Linked DNA regions of Arabidopsis thaliana. The protein of the gene in region 3 interacts with the protein of the main gene of each other region in a pairwise test. Each region holds a gene or a part of one and is shown on either strand. Other genes may lie near its edges.

Region 1 (4,299 bases), on a different chromosome or scaffold from region 3:
TTCAAGCCTTCGTTTTTACATTTGGTGGTGTAAAAAAGAATTCATTGGATCTTTTTGTATCAGCAAATTCCAATTATGAACTCGGACGCGGTGATAACTTGGGAGGTTGGGAACCAATGCCGGTTCCCAGTTTAGAAGGGGTTCGTATTACCCAGATTGCGTGCGGTGGATATCATTCTCTTGCCTTAACCGGTAAACAATCTTCTCCCAACTGAACAATTTTTCTTGTCGGTCTCTACTAAGTTGACTTGAAAATTGCTTGATGTGAAAACAGAGGAAGGTAAAGTACTCTCATGGGGCCACGGTGGCCACGGCCAGTTGGGTAGTTCCTCGCTGCGAAACCAGAAAGTTCCTACTGAAATCGAAGCATTAGCTGACAAAAAGATAGTCTTCATCGCTAGTGGAGGTTCCTCTTCTGCAGCGATAACAGGTATATTTAGCTATAGATATGTTCATTTGACATGATAAATAACTCAAACAAAACCAAAAGGATGGGATTGGTTTTTGACAGATGGGGGTGAACTCTGGATGTGGGGAAACGCTAAAGATTTCCAGCTAGGAGTTCCAGGTCTCCCTGAGATCCAAACTACTCCGGTCGAAGTCAATTTCTTAACCGAAGAAGATGAGTGTCAACCACACAAGGTTATCTCAATTTCCATTGGTGCTTCTCATGCTCTGTGTTTAGTCTCAAGATCACCTTAAGTAACACTTGGATAGGCGGTACCGTTCCTTAGAAACGCAGAACATTATGGTTCAGCTCAAAGGTTGTTTGGGATATACATTTGATATGGAAACGCAGTGGTATTCAATATGGTTTAAGGTGTGTGATTATACAAATAAATGAACAAGATCTTCACATATAACAACAAAAAAGAAATGAACAAGATCGACCGTGAGACCGATTCTTGAAAGTCGAACGTACCATCAATTTGAGCAGCAACCAACCTTTTTCACCGCAGAGACATCGTCTTTCGATCCGACATTGATGGTCTGTCCTTTGGGAAGAGCAGCCGGGTCGTCTCCTATATCCAACGCTTTCCGGCTAACCACACGGTAAATCTGAGAAAGTACTTCAGTGAAAGCATTCTCGACGTTCATCGATTCGAGAGCTGATGTCTCCATGAAGAAAGTGTTCTCTCTCTCAGCGAAAGCCTTAGCGTCTTCAGTCGAAACAGCTCGTAGGTGACGGAGATCCGCTTTGTTCCCAACGAACATGATGACGATATTGGCATCTGTATGATCTCGAAGCTCCTTTAACCATCTTTCAACGTTCTCAAACGTCACATGTCTTGTGACATCGTACACAAGCAACGCTCCTACAGCTCCTCTGTAATATGCACTTGTGATTGCTCGATATCTTCAAAACCAAAAATCAATCACGATTACGTAGATCATTCAATAATCAAGCTAATGTATCAGGAATCAATGTATGTTTCTTCAGATTCAATCGAAAACGAAAATTTCTCAAAATTGAAATCGAGGCATACATATATATATATATATATATATATATATATACCTTTCTTGGCCAGCGGTATCCCAAATCTGAGCTTTGACGATCTTATCATCGACATGGATGCTACGAGTGGCGAATTCTACACCGATCGTGGATTTAGATTCGAGACTGAACTCGTTGCGCGTGAATCGAGAAAGGAGGTTGGATTTTCCAACGCCGGAGTCTCCAATTAACACAACTTTGAAGAGGTAATCGTACTCGTCGTCGGCTCTATATGCGGCCATTGTGAGGTTCTCTGATTAGAGAATCTCTCCTCGGAAAATTTTATGGATCTGAGATTTCTAGAAATTTAGCGCGTATCGATCAACCAATGAGAAGAAGAACAAAAAAAGAAGAGAGAGTTTCAAATTTCCAGGGGAAAGACAAAAATGTTAAAAAATAAATCAAGGAGATCCGGATCCGACTTAATTTCGGGTCTGGGTTGTTATCCAGGTCCTTATTTGGGTCCGGGAAACGGTTTTACATTTTTACCGGGTTAGTGATTCTGATTTGAATTTTTTCTTTTGTTAAAGTTTTTCACTTTTCTTAACGTATACTTTTTCACCTTAGTCTTATATCGGTAGGTGTAAGTTATTTTATTGACGTTAATTACCCCGAAATAATTTATAAGATTCCCAAAAGACAAAAAATAGTTGTAAACTAAATAAGAATGAGTTTATACTTGAAGATGGAGATGGATCAGATGGTGTAATGAAATGTGTTGTGTATCATCTTCTTCATATATTTTTTTGTGTAAAGACGATACTGTTGATCATTACAATCATAAAGTTCAGTAACTTCAGTAAAATTCTTTGATTTTTATTTTGCTAGTTCTATCCATTTTTATGGGATTTGTGTTGTTAAGTTAAGAGAGATTAGACTCTGTTACATACAAATAGTAATGCGAAATACGGTTAGGACGAGTTCCGATCGAACCATGCCTTCGATTCAAAGACTAAGAATGGACCACTTACCAAGTCTTTCAATACAGCTGTTTCATTGTAATCCCAGCTCAGCAACCTACTATACCTAAATACAAGTTTGAGCTAATCAATTATAATGTTACCTTGATAATCCACAATACAAAATTTGTATGTTAAAAGTGATTCTTTGCAAATGTTAAATCTCTAAATTTGTCTATAACTTATCTTTTCTACGATCGCATCACCATTTCATTTAGTTGTCATTTCAGCTAATGTAAACTTGATAATGCACAATTGAACAATTTACATACGTACTAATTGAGACTTTCTTTTCAATATTCATTTTAAGTTTTAGTATTTTCTATTGCCATGTTACACATATGTGACATTAATCCCACCGACGTCAACCGTTCCAACTTTCAAGTTTCAATTTCTTCATTAATTGTCATTGTCTCATGATACTTGGAGTTCTCTGAGTTCATTGTCAACTGATGGTGACTTAATCTTCAACTTCGACATTTACTAAAGAGATTCCTACACTAATCTTTTCTATCTTAGCAGGTGATCACTTCAGCCATGTGTTGGTTTCGGATCGGCTCTTTGGAGCTTAGATTTAGATATCGACGTCCATTGATACGTATGGCTTTCAATGTGAGATTAAAAATAGGTTTTGTTGGTGGAACCATTTTTCAACAGTTTTCCCCAAATTCTATACGCATATTCAACATAAAAAACACTTTGACCAGTGGTCATTCAGACATAATTCACGTGTCGAGAACGTATTACATCATAACATGCATGAAACCAAGTCGCACCATCACAATGGTTCCATCAACATGGCTTAGATTAGGATCTTTGAAAGTAAATGTGTTTGATACGAAGTTAATTATGATTTATGATTTAGGAGAATCTGAAAAGTGCTAATGATCATTTGAATTCTTCCGCACTTCTTTAGAATCTCTAAACCATCCTACAAGATTTTAAGAGTTCTAGAAGATTCTACAAAATAGCCAAAGAAAAAATGTTAAAAATGGCGAAGTGTAAAGAGTCTTGCTATCGAAAAAATCTATTAAAACGTTCAAACCTATCACTCTTAGGGCCATCATTATAGATATAGGACTAAACCCGCATTTGAATAAAAATGTCCATGAACTACTTCTAGCTAATTTGTCAAACAATTGAGTCGATCGATGAAAAAAAAAACAGAAAATACAAGTAAGAAATCATGAAATAATAAAAGGAAAAATGATTAGGGGAACATGGTGGAGTCATACACCAACCCACAGACAATCCCAAACTCTCCCAACCGCCCAACCAAACTTTCCCGTGTATGATTTGTATGAGATTTTATAACTTATGCACATGTCCTAATGGACCTACTCCCCTCTCAAGTGTTTTCCCTACAATGACCACCACCTACCTAATCTGGACCCCTCTCCATCATCACCATTGATTCCTAGTGTCACCAATCCAATCCAACGACCAATACGAGCAGTGAGTTTTCTTTGATCCAACGGCCCACAATCAGAGAATCCGTACTCGTTCTCTCTCGGCTAGATAGATCTTTGAAATCGTCTACGAGCGATTGGTGTTAGAGTAAACGACGAACCGACTTCGATATTATAAGTACGTCAGCCATAGACGTTACGACACGTGAAGTGGGACACATCTTAAGCCACGTGGAATACATGTCGCGCATGAGACTCGTCACTAACACGTGGGTCCTCTGCGCAAATCGCTCGTCTATTCTTGCTTTGCACTGTTTTTACGCGACGGCACGGCTCTCTCGTTTTCCGTACAATTCCCTCTGAATCTTTTCTAATTCGCCACTAACATATCTCAAGCCTATCATCAACAAACCTAAGATTACTCTTTCGAGTT
Region 2 (4,955 bases), on a different chromosome or scaffold from region 3:
CTTACCAATCAAATGATGTGATGATAACACCAACCCAAATAGGTAAAAACCCTCGAGTCAAAATCTGAAGAGCGATCGCGCTTCCGATGACTTCTTGAATATCAGCTCCGATCAAAGCAACCTCCGCCATGAACCAAAGCAAGATTCGCGCCCACGAAGGATACTCACTTCGACAAATCTCCGCTAAATGTCGACCCGTGGCGACACCGATACGAGCAGAGAGAAGCTGCATCAGAAGTCCCATTAGCGTCGCCCATAGAAGAAGCCATAGGAGAGAGTAACCAGCCACAGCTCCGGCTTGTAAATCTCCTTCGATATTTCCTGGATCTAGAAACGCGATGCTCATGAGAAATCCAGGTCCGGTGAATTTCCATAGCTTTGCCCATGAGAATGGCGGAACTGAATCGTAGGTTTTGTCTCTGTCTTCTTCTACGTTCAGGATCTGATTCTCCGGTGGCGATTCGTGAAGCTCGTCCTCCTCTGGCTGAGAGGTTTCGGGAACTAATAGACGTTTGAATTCGCCGTTACTGTCGTTTGGTCTCTTAGGGCTGTTTTCTTGGCGGGAAACGGTGGATCCCGTCATCTTAGTAACGGAATATTCTTTCGGCGTTACTGACGACGTGATTTGTTTTAAGAAAATTTTAAAAGATTACATGGATTATTTTGATAAAATTAAAATTAAAGTCAAGAATAGTCAAATGAGAAAACAAAAGCAAATTCTAAAAATGAACTGTTATTAAAAGTTTCTATTATTAGAAACTGAATTGTGATCTCTATTTTTTTGACGAAAATTTTCTAAATTGGTATAACAAAAATTAGTTGTGTTCAAGGATTAGCACAATAAATATTGGTTTAGAGATATTTGCGGATTGAATTAAAAACAAACCATAGACCAGAACCGGTTAAATTACAAAATCCCTTAACCGGTACAGAATCAGACCAAAGCTAAGCAATTTTCAAACAAGCAAATCAAAAGGCATAACATAGTTTGTTTTCCTAAAAAAAAGCAAACATCTTCAAAAACAAAATTTGAATGTAAAATTTAAAAACCGATTTCAGCTTTAGGACATAAGACCATTTAGTTGGAGCAGCAACCAGTTTTCTTCACTGCGGAAACATCAACATCGATCTTCTCTCCTTTCGAAGGAACATTACCGGAATCTTCACCAGCCTCCATTGCTTTCTTGCTCACAACATGGTAAATCTGAGTGAGTACTTCAGAAAACGCGTTCTCAACATTGGTAGATTCAAGAGCTGAGGTTTCCATGAAGTAGAGTGATTCATTCTCTGCAAAAGATTTTGCATCTTCGGTTTGGACTGCTACAAGATGGCGAAGATCGGATTTGTTTCCCACAAGCATCACAACTATGTTTGGGTCAGTGTGGTCACGGAGTTCCCTTAGCCATCTCTCAACGTTTTCGAATGTTGAGTGTCGGGTTACGTCGTAAACAAGAAGCGCCCCAACAGCTCCTCGATAGTAAGCACTAGTGATTGCTCGGTATCTAAAAATAGCGAAAAGAGGAGAAACAAAAACCCGTTAACGACTTAGTCATTGAAACTCTGTTAAATTAGAAAGATAGGAACATAATAAGAACCGAAATGACAAGAAAGACTTCAAAGCAATAAGCTCTTCAGCTTCAATGGTAGAAAACGATCATTAAAGAAATCGATATCGTCATCAGAATTAACGAACATATAGAAACACCATGAACATATACGATACCGAAGATTATCATCAACCACTGGTTGATCAAACTAATCAGCAAAACAACAGAATTTCTACAAAGCTGGTAACTTTAAGCATAATTGTTGAGTTCTCTCATTATACACAAATACAATGTACACTTCACCTCCAGTAATTATATACACGATCACAGGTTAGGTTGATTTCTCAAGCTTTCTCTACGATAAACTGATTCCATTAACTAAGACAGATCTAATGAAATTGTATTGACTCCACAATGCATCAGAAGGCCAATACCTAAAACACAGATCGAGAAATGAACAAATGAAGACAAAATCAAAGAGACGGAGCTTAAACCTTTCTTGACCAGCAGTGTCCCAAATCTGGGCTTTGATGACTTTTTCATTAACATTCAAGCTACGAGTCGCGAACTCGACCCCGATCGTTGATTTAGACTCGAGACTAAACTCGTTCCTGGTGAATCGAGAAAGCAAATTGGACTTTCCAACACCTGAATCACCGATCAGAACCACCTTGAATAGGTAATCGTAATCATCATCTGCTCTGTAACCCGCCATTAACACTTCTCACTGAATCAAAAAAGCTTCACACTTTCAACGAATAAAGAAACGAAAATTGCTCTATGATCCCAGAAAATTGAACAAAACTTCGATTTTGCTTTTTTACTTTCTTCTTTATTCTCTTTAGATTCAAATATTTATTCCTCAGATTTCTACAGAAAGACACAGACTTTGAAAAAAGTTAGGGTAAGACTGGTGTCTTTCTAGCTGGACCATGATCACCGATAGATTCTGGGTGAAATATTTTGTATACATGTACTAAACTACCCCGGATTCACTCCCTAAGATCAGGGGTAGATCCGACATTTCGTTAAACTTTTGTATGTATATGTTACATGCTTTCATTTTCTTGAAAAGGTCAAAAAGTAGTGGTGGTGGTCATGTTACATTGGTAAACGGCGATATTTCAGTCACTCTCAATGATGATCTAACAAAAATGAAACATTTCTAGCTCTATCTTCTAGTTAGTGGATTCTGTATATACCCAATGGGTTTCAACACACACTAAAATGGAAGCCCATATGGGCTAATCACATAGTAGTTGTGTGTATTGTCTAAATTCTTTGAGGTTAGCAAAAACTCACATATCTGCTGCCATGTGAAAAGAGTTCAATGATTTGTGTATTATGTAATATGTAATCCAAAAACGCATCTGTACATTAAGAAAAGAAACAAAAAAAAGAGTGAAAAAGGAACATAGACAAATGTTCTGTGCTCCTCTCCACTCATCCTCCATTATTAGCCAAAAAATCCATTATTTTGTCATTACCATAAAAGTCTCCATCAACCCTTTTCCTCATGAAACCCTCCTATCAAAATTTAGATTCTTTACTTTTTCTTTTCTTTAAAAAATGTCTGAAACTCCACCTACATCTTCATCTTCTTCCTCTGTTTTAACTCAGAATGTTACAAAACCAGTTTCAGACAAACTTCTTCAGAAGTACATTGACGTGTCTGAGTTTCAGTTTGATTACCAGACAAGCGGTATCTGGTCTCCACCGTTTCAACGGACTGCTTTTCTTACACCACAAGGCAAAATTCTCACAGACAGAGAAATGGCAGAGAAATTTCAGAATCTTGTTGAAGAACCTCCACGGATCAAAAGGTACAATCTTTATTGTTGTCGTCAATAAGCTTTTGTAAATCTTATCTACAATGTACGATATATGGAGTATACAAACATGTTTCTACACGACTCTTTTGTTGTTGTTTTTACTTTTGGAAAGATTTTTAACGAAGATGAGACAACACACAGTTACAAAAGTAGATAAAACCTGGTTTAAACTGCAACAGTGCTCTGTTCTAAAGCTTCTTTACCGGTGATTCCATCTTTCAGAGTCTTGAAATACTCATTGTAGTCTTTCTCCGGTGGAGGATTCTCAGGATCTACCGTGAAAGGCTCGCTAAACGGAACCGTACTTTTAACCTGAAACAAACAAACAACACACAAAACAGCCCAATTCAGAAATTTAACTTTTTGAATAGCAACCCGGAAAAATCGAAAAATTGATGATTCTTTAAAAACCTCGAAGGTCTTGTTAAGAGCATACGGGCTTTCTAAAGCAGCGATGCATATACGCGCTACTTCGTCTCTTGATACCTTCCCCTATATAAAGGTAAAGTTGGTTAGGTTAGTTAACTTAAAGAGTTGTTGGATTTCAAGGAGAAGCGAAATTGAAAATACCGTAATGTTGTCTCCTTGTTCGAAAATGAGATCAGCTCCGGCAGGCTCTTCTGTTAAAGCACATGGCCGTACAATTGCAAATGGAATCCCGCTGTCGCGTATCAGATCCTCTCCCTAGTCATTCAAAAGTAAGAGCTTTAAAATCTTTTGAAAATGACTTTTCCAATTTTCTGCGAAGCAGAGAGTATAGAGAGACAAACCTTTAACTTGTAAGTGAGAATGAAATCAAGCTCTTTGTTTAATCTCACGGCCGGAGGTTGTTTGCTTAGATCCAAACCGGGTCTCTCTGGTCGAGTAACTCCCGCAGAGCCAACGTGAACAAACCTGTAACGATAAGTAACGAAATGCTAGTTCAGCATTTAGTGAAGAGTTTGGTTTCTAAAAAGCAAGAAACTAGATCAGACCTTGGAGTGACGGGGTCTTGGATATAAGCTCGAATGCTAGATAAAGGAAGCTCGAAAGGTCCTTCTTTGAATGTAGGGTTAAGCTTACCATCATACTCAAATTTGCTAAACATAAGCTGAAAAATAGCCAACTTATTAATCAAACATTTAGAATGGGAATTTTAAGAGGGTTAACACAAAAAGGAAAACAAACCTGTAGTGAAATGATACTGCTTGCATTAAAAGGTGGTGCATCTGTAACTGTACGTGCGCGAAATACAGGTCTTAAAGACGAGAAAGGTAAGCGTACCTATGATTTAAAGTAACAGAACTATAATTAATCTACCCACAAAAGTATATCGAAAATGAAAGACAAAAGTGATTTTACTTACAGATTGCCATTGGCCTGGTGAAGTGTCAAAACTGGCGGTGTAACCAACAGTATCCCAATCTTGGCTTGTTCGGACGATTAGCTTATAACGGAGTCCATCACCTTTTAGTCTTAGCTCTAGACCATCATATGCAGAGACATTCTCCGCCTCGGGAAAGTTCTAGAAGAAAAGTGTAAGACTCATGCTTCAGTGAGATAACGAAGGATAAAAAAGCTTGGAGAGATTCTGACA
Region 3 (6,191 bases):
AAAAGGAGATGAGTACTAGCTTCGTTTTCTATTAAAGTGCAAACCTCAAAATCACAATTCAGAAATTCTTTACAGTTTTACCTCATTTTTAATCTGAATCAAGAATCGATAACAATAATTTCGGACCATAATCTGAGCAGAAGATAACACACGGTAATAGTTCTTTTCGTCTTGTTATATTCTCATGTAAATAAACTATAGTGGTTTGGGCTTTTGGTCTAATCCTTTTAGCTTTCATGCCTCTCTTCAAGTTGGGTTTGGTATCCCTTTATTGGGGTTGGGCCTTTTTAGTTTCAGTTTTAAAATTTTGTAATCATCTAGTTGGGCTTGACCTATTTTGTAATGTTCCATTTTATGATAAAAAGTCAATAGAAAGACCTTTAGGCAAAAAAAAAAAAAAAAAAACTAGTCGTGAACAATAAGTTATACAACAAATGAAATCTCGTCCCACGCGCTGCAAGTCTTTTCAATTTTAAATTTATGCAAAAATCCCCGAAAAGGAGGGTTATAGTCCACGGATTATAGTCTCACGCGCCGAAACGCGCCTGTGATGCGAGTGGTTTTGTATTTTAAATTCCTACACGCGTGTAGTTCTGTTTTAATCTTTAATTGATAGAATTATTTCGGGTCCAATTCCGACGCTAATTCAGACCCAATGGGCTTTAAATTCTGTCAAGTGTCAACCTTTGGGATTGGATAAACGATTGACGATTCTCTCCAGAGAATAACCAAACCCTCATAATTGGGCCTCATAATGAGAGCTTGGCACCACATTACATATGATAACATTAACCCAACGATCTCGAAAAAAGCATTCAAATTCTTAATCTTGACTTCAAAGTCAAATTTCCTAGTCGATAATGATATCTTCCTTGATTTTTTAAGTTTCTGGACTTGGCCATGAAAATCAGAATTGGAGTCGAAATATACGAAATCGGAAGTGTTTATTCAAAGAGAAACATAGAACGATTATGGTTGTGATCGGTAAAAGATGTCTGAATAAATTAATTTCTATACAAATTCATTATTTCTTTTTAGTCGTTGATTTAAAGTTTGTGGAGTTTCAATGGTTAGACAAGCGGTCGTGGATTAATCACTTCTTCTCAATCCTTTATTTCTTCCCTAATCATAGTTGCTCTCTAGTGAATAAGTAAAGAAAATGGCTCACCCTCCCTCTGCCAATCTTCCTGCTTCCCCTCTAATAACGGGGTAACTATATGTTACAATCAAATAAATAAATGGGTATTCTAAGTCTTTAAAACCAATGGTTTCATTCATCAATCAATCTTCTATTTCAACACCACCATCGTTTTCCTCCTCCGTTGTGTTCTCCGCCGGTGAGGTCTCTTCTTTAAATAATTCTTCACTCCCCATGAGCTTTTCATATAGCTACCAAATCCAATATGATAACATTATCAAAACCATAACTTAATGAGATAACTGCTGTAAGGAGCTTCTACTAACCTTCACGGCTGATTCCACTATCTCATTGTAGTTCAAGTTTCCATCTGGACTAGGCATGGAACTGATCGTACCTCCAAATTCACCCTGATCCAAATCAAACTTTTATTTAGTGAAAATGACATTACCAACGTCGAAATGAAAAGGTAAATTCCCAATCACATTTTCCACCTTGACTAGCTCTTGCACGTACAGTGCTCTCCAGAGTAGAATAGGTTTTGTCTCAGAAGTATCATTCTCAACAACGGAATCGCTTTGACGATTCTCGGGAACAGGCAAACTGATGAGATTACTCATGGCTGATAATAGCGCCTTTATCCCTTGGTCATCATTGTCGCACAAAGTTGAAAGATATAAAACATGCCTGCAGCAGCAAATATATATGGCTTAGAGAACAGTTAAAGCTAAGCAAATGGAAAGAAACAGAACTAAAATGGGAAAAGATCATCTTAGGCTAAACCACAACTTACATGTCAGCAGGACAAACCGCTAAACCACTACCAAGCTGCAGAACCCGAATTGCAGTTAGCTGTTCTGGAAACAAAGCTAAGAGGAAAAAACTATTAATGTTAGAACCTTCAAAACGCAAAAGACGATATACATGTAAGTGAAACAACTAACTAGTGGGTCTTCAAAAATTAGCTTACATTTAGGTGGATAAACGACAAGAGCGTTTGATACATTAGCTTTCACAGAACCTCTAATGACGCATACTCCTCTTGCAATTTTCTCCTTATTGATCATCGACTTTGGGACAAGAACACTGAGAGTTTCATTTTGCTGATCTGTCAATGACGACAGAGACTCTAATCCAACAGTAACACATGGATCCAGAATCAACTTTTGGCTGAATATCTCTTGACCAGAAGCTAATCTAACCCCTTTGTAACCCCCAGTTTCCTGCAAAAAGAGTTTAAAATAATCAAGTAAGAATCCTTTCCGTCAACTAAACTTATCTTATGCTACAACTGTCAGCTAACTTGCCTTGTCTAAAAGCAGAGCAGTAATAGGCATCCGGAGAACCTGTGAAAACAATGAAAGACTAAATAAGTAACAAATACCACAACAGCAACACAGTACACAATGCAGAAAATTGTTCCAAACGTACATAGATACATCCTTTGACAGCAGCCCGACGACAAAAGGCTTGTGGAAGTTCTCCTTGTCCATAAATTGGGTATATCAACGCCCCAAGTGCGTTAGAAAACCTAAGGTAGAGAATCAAAAGCTAAATTATACTCAATATAACCAATGATAATGTAAACCAATAAGAAAGATGATCACAAATGTGTAAGAGCCAGGAATGAGAAAATGATGAATGACCTGCCCATAGATGTGATGTATAGAGCCAATCGATCTATCCCCTCTTTGGTCTTGAGTAAATGTCTACAAGTTTCCGTATTGTCTTGATCATAATCTAGCATCGCAATGGCATACAAGATGATCCTACACAGAAGAAGAGGAAACAAAGCCTTACCTATCAACATTTCAGAGACAAAATTCTAAGAAGCATTAAGCAGAGACAAATGTCCAAAGAGCTGCCATTAACAGAGAAGGAGGTTATACGATTTGATTTTGGGTGGTAAACGCATCTTTGACAAGAAGTCCACAAATGGACTCTCCATATCTTCCTCCGATATCTTGACTGTTGTTGAATCATCTTTTTCGGTAGAAGAAGCCAAGTGACTTTGAACAAGCTTGAAGAATTTCATGAGCTGATTCTTCTCCAACAGAGTCAAGCTCTTGTCCTTGAATATAGCAGCTCTCGAATCCGGCACATTTCGTAGCTCACCGCTCGAATCCCCAACGAAGCTGGCATCGATGCTCTTGAACTCAACGTAGTTGTTAGCTCCTGATTTCAGCATGAGATTAATTGATTCATCGGCACAGAAGACAACCCTAGGACCAGCCAAGTCAACGTTGAATCTTCTAGAGTGTTCTTCGAGGATCTCCGATTCGAAGCTCGAAATCTCCACGGAGGAATACAAGGATCGGTTAACGAGATCCACGGAGATAAAATCATGGTTGTTTGACGGAGGGAGAGGAGGAGATGACGGCGACGGAGGAGGAGAAACGGAGTTTGAGTGAAGGAAAGAAGTGAGATCGGGAAGGGAAAGAGAGGCGAAGTGAGAGCCGTAGAAGGGGTTAGGGTCGAGGTGGAGAACAGAACTACCGGAGGAGGAAGCAGCGGCGGCTAAGACGGACTCAGAGACTCCGGTGCCGACGACAATGAGATCGTAGTTGGAAGGATCAAGCGGCGGGTAAGGAGGGATGTCGATCATGGTGGCTCGAACAGATTTGTGTATCAAAAGTCGAACCAACGTGACTTCAGTAGCTTGATCGATACACGAGCGTTGAATAATCTGGGAAGATGTTGAGATGAGTGAGGAGAATCGAGGAAGAGGTTCAAGAGAAGAAGAAGTTTCTTCTTACATTACATATACAAACGTAATGGGCCTAAGATGTAAATGAATAAAAGAGGTAAGTGTGAATCGGCCCAACATGGCCCATCTTCTTAATCAACGCATAGACTATAGGGTCTACTGTTTTTCTTATGTTAGAAACTTAAAATATGATTTTTTTTTTTATATAAACGGTTTAATTGAAGAAAATAGAGTTTATACTTTCTTCGTTCACTTTACTGGTCAGTGGTCCACTTATAATGTGATTTTTTGAACTATTTTCTTTGTTGAATATAAAAGAATTTTATATATCTTGAAAAAAAAAAGTGTTAGATAAAGATTGCGAAGATTTCTTTTGTTTGTTGTGATTATGAAAATCTTCTAACCACTTTTAACTAATAATAGAGATATACCACATTCTTCTGGATAAAAGCAGATTTAACTAACTAAATAAAAGAAATCGAAAAACGAATTCACGACGACTATTAAATCTCCGAAACCCCATAGTCCTAGTAAAAACACACACACGATGGAGAAGAAGATTAGTGATATGGATGTGTTTGTTTGCAGAGGAATATGGTATATAATGACTCTACTCTCACTTTTTGGCCTCTCCAAATCACTCAATCTTCTCTGGCCACCTGGAGATTCATCGTCTCAGTCCTTTAGGGACGGTGCGGTCAGTGTCACAACATTCTACGCAGTGACGCTACTCAGATATCTTTTTTTCACCGCTCCTCCTTCCGCTTGCTACAAGGAGTTTACTACAAAGTTGGAGAGAGTACCTCAGGTTTTGTTTTCGACATTTTCCGCAAATTTAGCGTTGGCATTGCCCTTAATATATGAGCTATTGACAAACAAAGAGTTTGAATTGTCCATGTCGTTATTCACCATCTCGTTGTTCACCGGAGGGTTAGGGCTGATTCAGCTATCGGATAAGTTTAGGATGGAGATCGGACATGCTTTGTACACGCTCTTCCTCGGTTGGTTATCTTGTCTCTTTAGCATGTCTAACAATCTATACCGGGGTGACTATAAGGTACTGTTATTGTTTTTAATATCAGTACCTCATTTTTTGCTTTCCTTTGGGCCCGCGTATAATTTCTCCAAATGGGAAGACTCGGACACTTTCTCTGCCTACCGAGCAATAGAGGACAAGCTTGACACACATGCTATGACTACACTTTCTATCTAAGTATATCAATGTTTCCTTACATTAAAGTAATGGCTTTTGCAAGTCCATCATATTTTACTTTGATGTAAGATTAATCTGGATTTTATAGCTATACAATTACTCATATGGATTTCCTTTAACTTGTAATAGACAATAATAAGTCTTAACATCATCGTGAACAGAAACACAAATAAACAAGAAAGAACACCTTATTCATAAATAAATATACAGAAAGATGACATTACAGCAACATTGTATGCATCTACCTCTGATTTCTATCTTCGTATATCTACCATATCGCGTAGTTCAACTCCTATGAATTCATTCGAATAGTCCACTCTGGTCCGGTTCAGAAGTGCTTCACACCTGTTTGTTTCCAGTGAAATAATAAAACGTGAGATGGTTCAATCGAATATGAGAGGATGACATTCGTCCTCGCTTTGTGTATGCACTAACATATCAATGAACTCAAGTACCAGGGAAAAAAAAGCTTTCTCCCACACAAAAAGATAAAATTTTGACTTACCAGTTTTTGGGGAATTGTGATAAGAATAAATGAGAAAAAGTAGAGACAAGTGCAGATTATGAGTGCTGAGATCGTGTTGTAGACAAGGCGTTTGTCGTCCTTGGTTGGTATGAAGGCTGTTTTCAAAGTGTTGGTAAGCTCAAAGAGCCTATAAGAGATCTGAAAACAGAGCAACAAAAAGCCAATCAGTTTGTTTGTATCTGTCTGGCTTTCAACTTGTTTCTATCTGTTGTAGCAGGGTTTGCTTACAGCGACGTAAATCGAAGTAGTGAGCATGAAGTTCAACAATGGGTAATCCGGGACAAGAGATAGTAGTAATTTGGGTTGACCATCAGGAACTCCAGATCTGTGGGTGAATTAGATTATTTCATAGTTCAATGGGTCAGGAAAAATCTTAATAGCTTATTGTATTAGCATGCTCCACCATCAATTTCCCACTTACTCTACAATTGAGAACTTGGGCAAGAAAAGTGTGACATACCTGAGCCATATATGAAACTGGGAGATATATGTCTCCAGTGTTATCTTTCCAAGCCACCTGAAAGTTCATGAACAAATTTTTCTTGAAAAAATCGTTATAAGAGGATAAACATATCTATTGACTGAATTATTTTTTACTTACGCCAGA

What was found. The genes of interacting proteins can lie anywhere in the genome.
Region 1: the proteins of REP (region 3) and RABA1f interact in a two-hybrid assay, tested with the Arabidopsis thaliana proteins (one large-scale study listed by BioGRID).
Region 2: the proteins of REP (region 3) and RABA1d interact in a two-hybrid assay, tested with the Arabidopsis thaliana proteins (one large-scale study listed by BioGRID).

What each region holds. Positions count from the first base shown.
Region 1 is NC_003076.8:24,482,191-24,486,489, reverse strand, and holds RABA1f (RAB GTPase homolog A1F), read right to left. Parts: upstream 1,993-4,299; 5' UTR 1,741-1,992; coding exon 1,520-1,740; intron 1,358-1,519; coding exon 925-1,357; 3' UTR 785-924; downstream 1-784. Other genes in the region: RUG3 (Regulator of chromosome condensation (RCC1) family protein), read left to right, coding at 64-192, 275-430, 491-702. UniProt on the Arabidopsis thaliana protein: Intracellular vesicle trafficking and protein transport.
Region 2 is NC_003075.7:10,319,078-10,324,032, forward strand, and holds RABA1d (RAB GTPase homolog A1D), read right to left. Parts: upstream 2,497-4,955; 5' UTR 2,263-2,496; coding exon 2,042-2,262; intron 1,503-2,041; coding exon 1,079-1,502; 3' UTR 785-1,078; downstream 1-784. Other genes in the region: NRAMP5 (NRAMP metal ion transporter family protein), read right to left, coding at 6-583; AT4G18810 (NAD(P)-binding Rossmann-fold superfamily protein), read right to left, coding at 3,186-3,284, 3,551-3,691, 3,791-3,871, 3,950-4,063, 4,150-4,273, 4,354-4,469, 4,547-4,642, 4,725-4,883.
Region 3 is NC_003074.8:2,033,920-2,040,110, forward strand, and holds REP (Rab escort protein), read right to left. Parts: upstream 3,873-6,191; 5' UTR 3,744-3,872; coding exon 3,028-3,743; intron 2,908-3,027; coding exon 2,785-2,907; intron 2,670-2,784; coding exon 2,570-2,669; intron 2,485-2,569; coding exon 2,446-2,484; intron 2,362-2,445; coding exon 2,109-2,361; intron 2,008-2,108; coding exon 1,932-2,007; intron 1,826-1,931; coding exon 1,633-1,825; intron 1,549-1,632; coding exon 1,465-1,548; intron 1,390-1,464; coding exon 1,282-1,389; 3' UTR 994-1,281; downstream 1-993. Other genes in the region: AT3G06545 (uncharacterized protein), read left to right, coding at 4,393-4,891, 4,982-5,058; RWA2 (O-acetyltransferase family protein), read right to left, coding at 5,489-5,722, 5,813-5,909, 6,045-6,101, 6,186-6,191. UniProt on the Arabidopsis thaliana protein: Substrate-binding subunit of the Rab geranylgeranyltransferase (GGTase) complex. Binds unprenylated Rab proteins and presents the substrate peptide to the catalytic component composed of the alpha subunit RGTA and the beta subunit RGTB.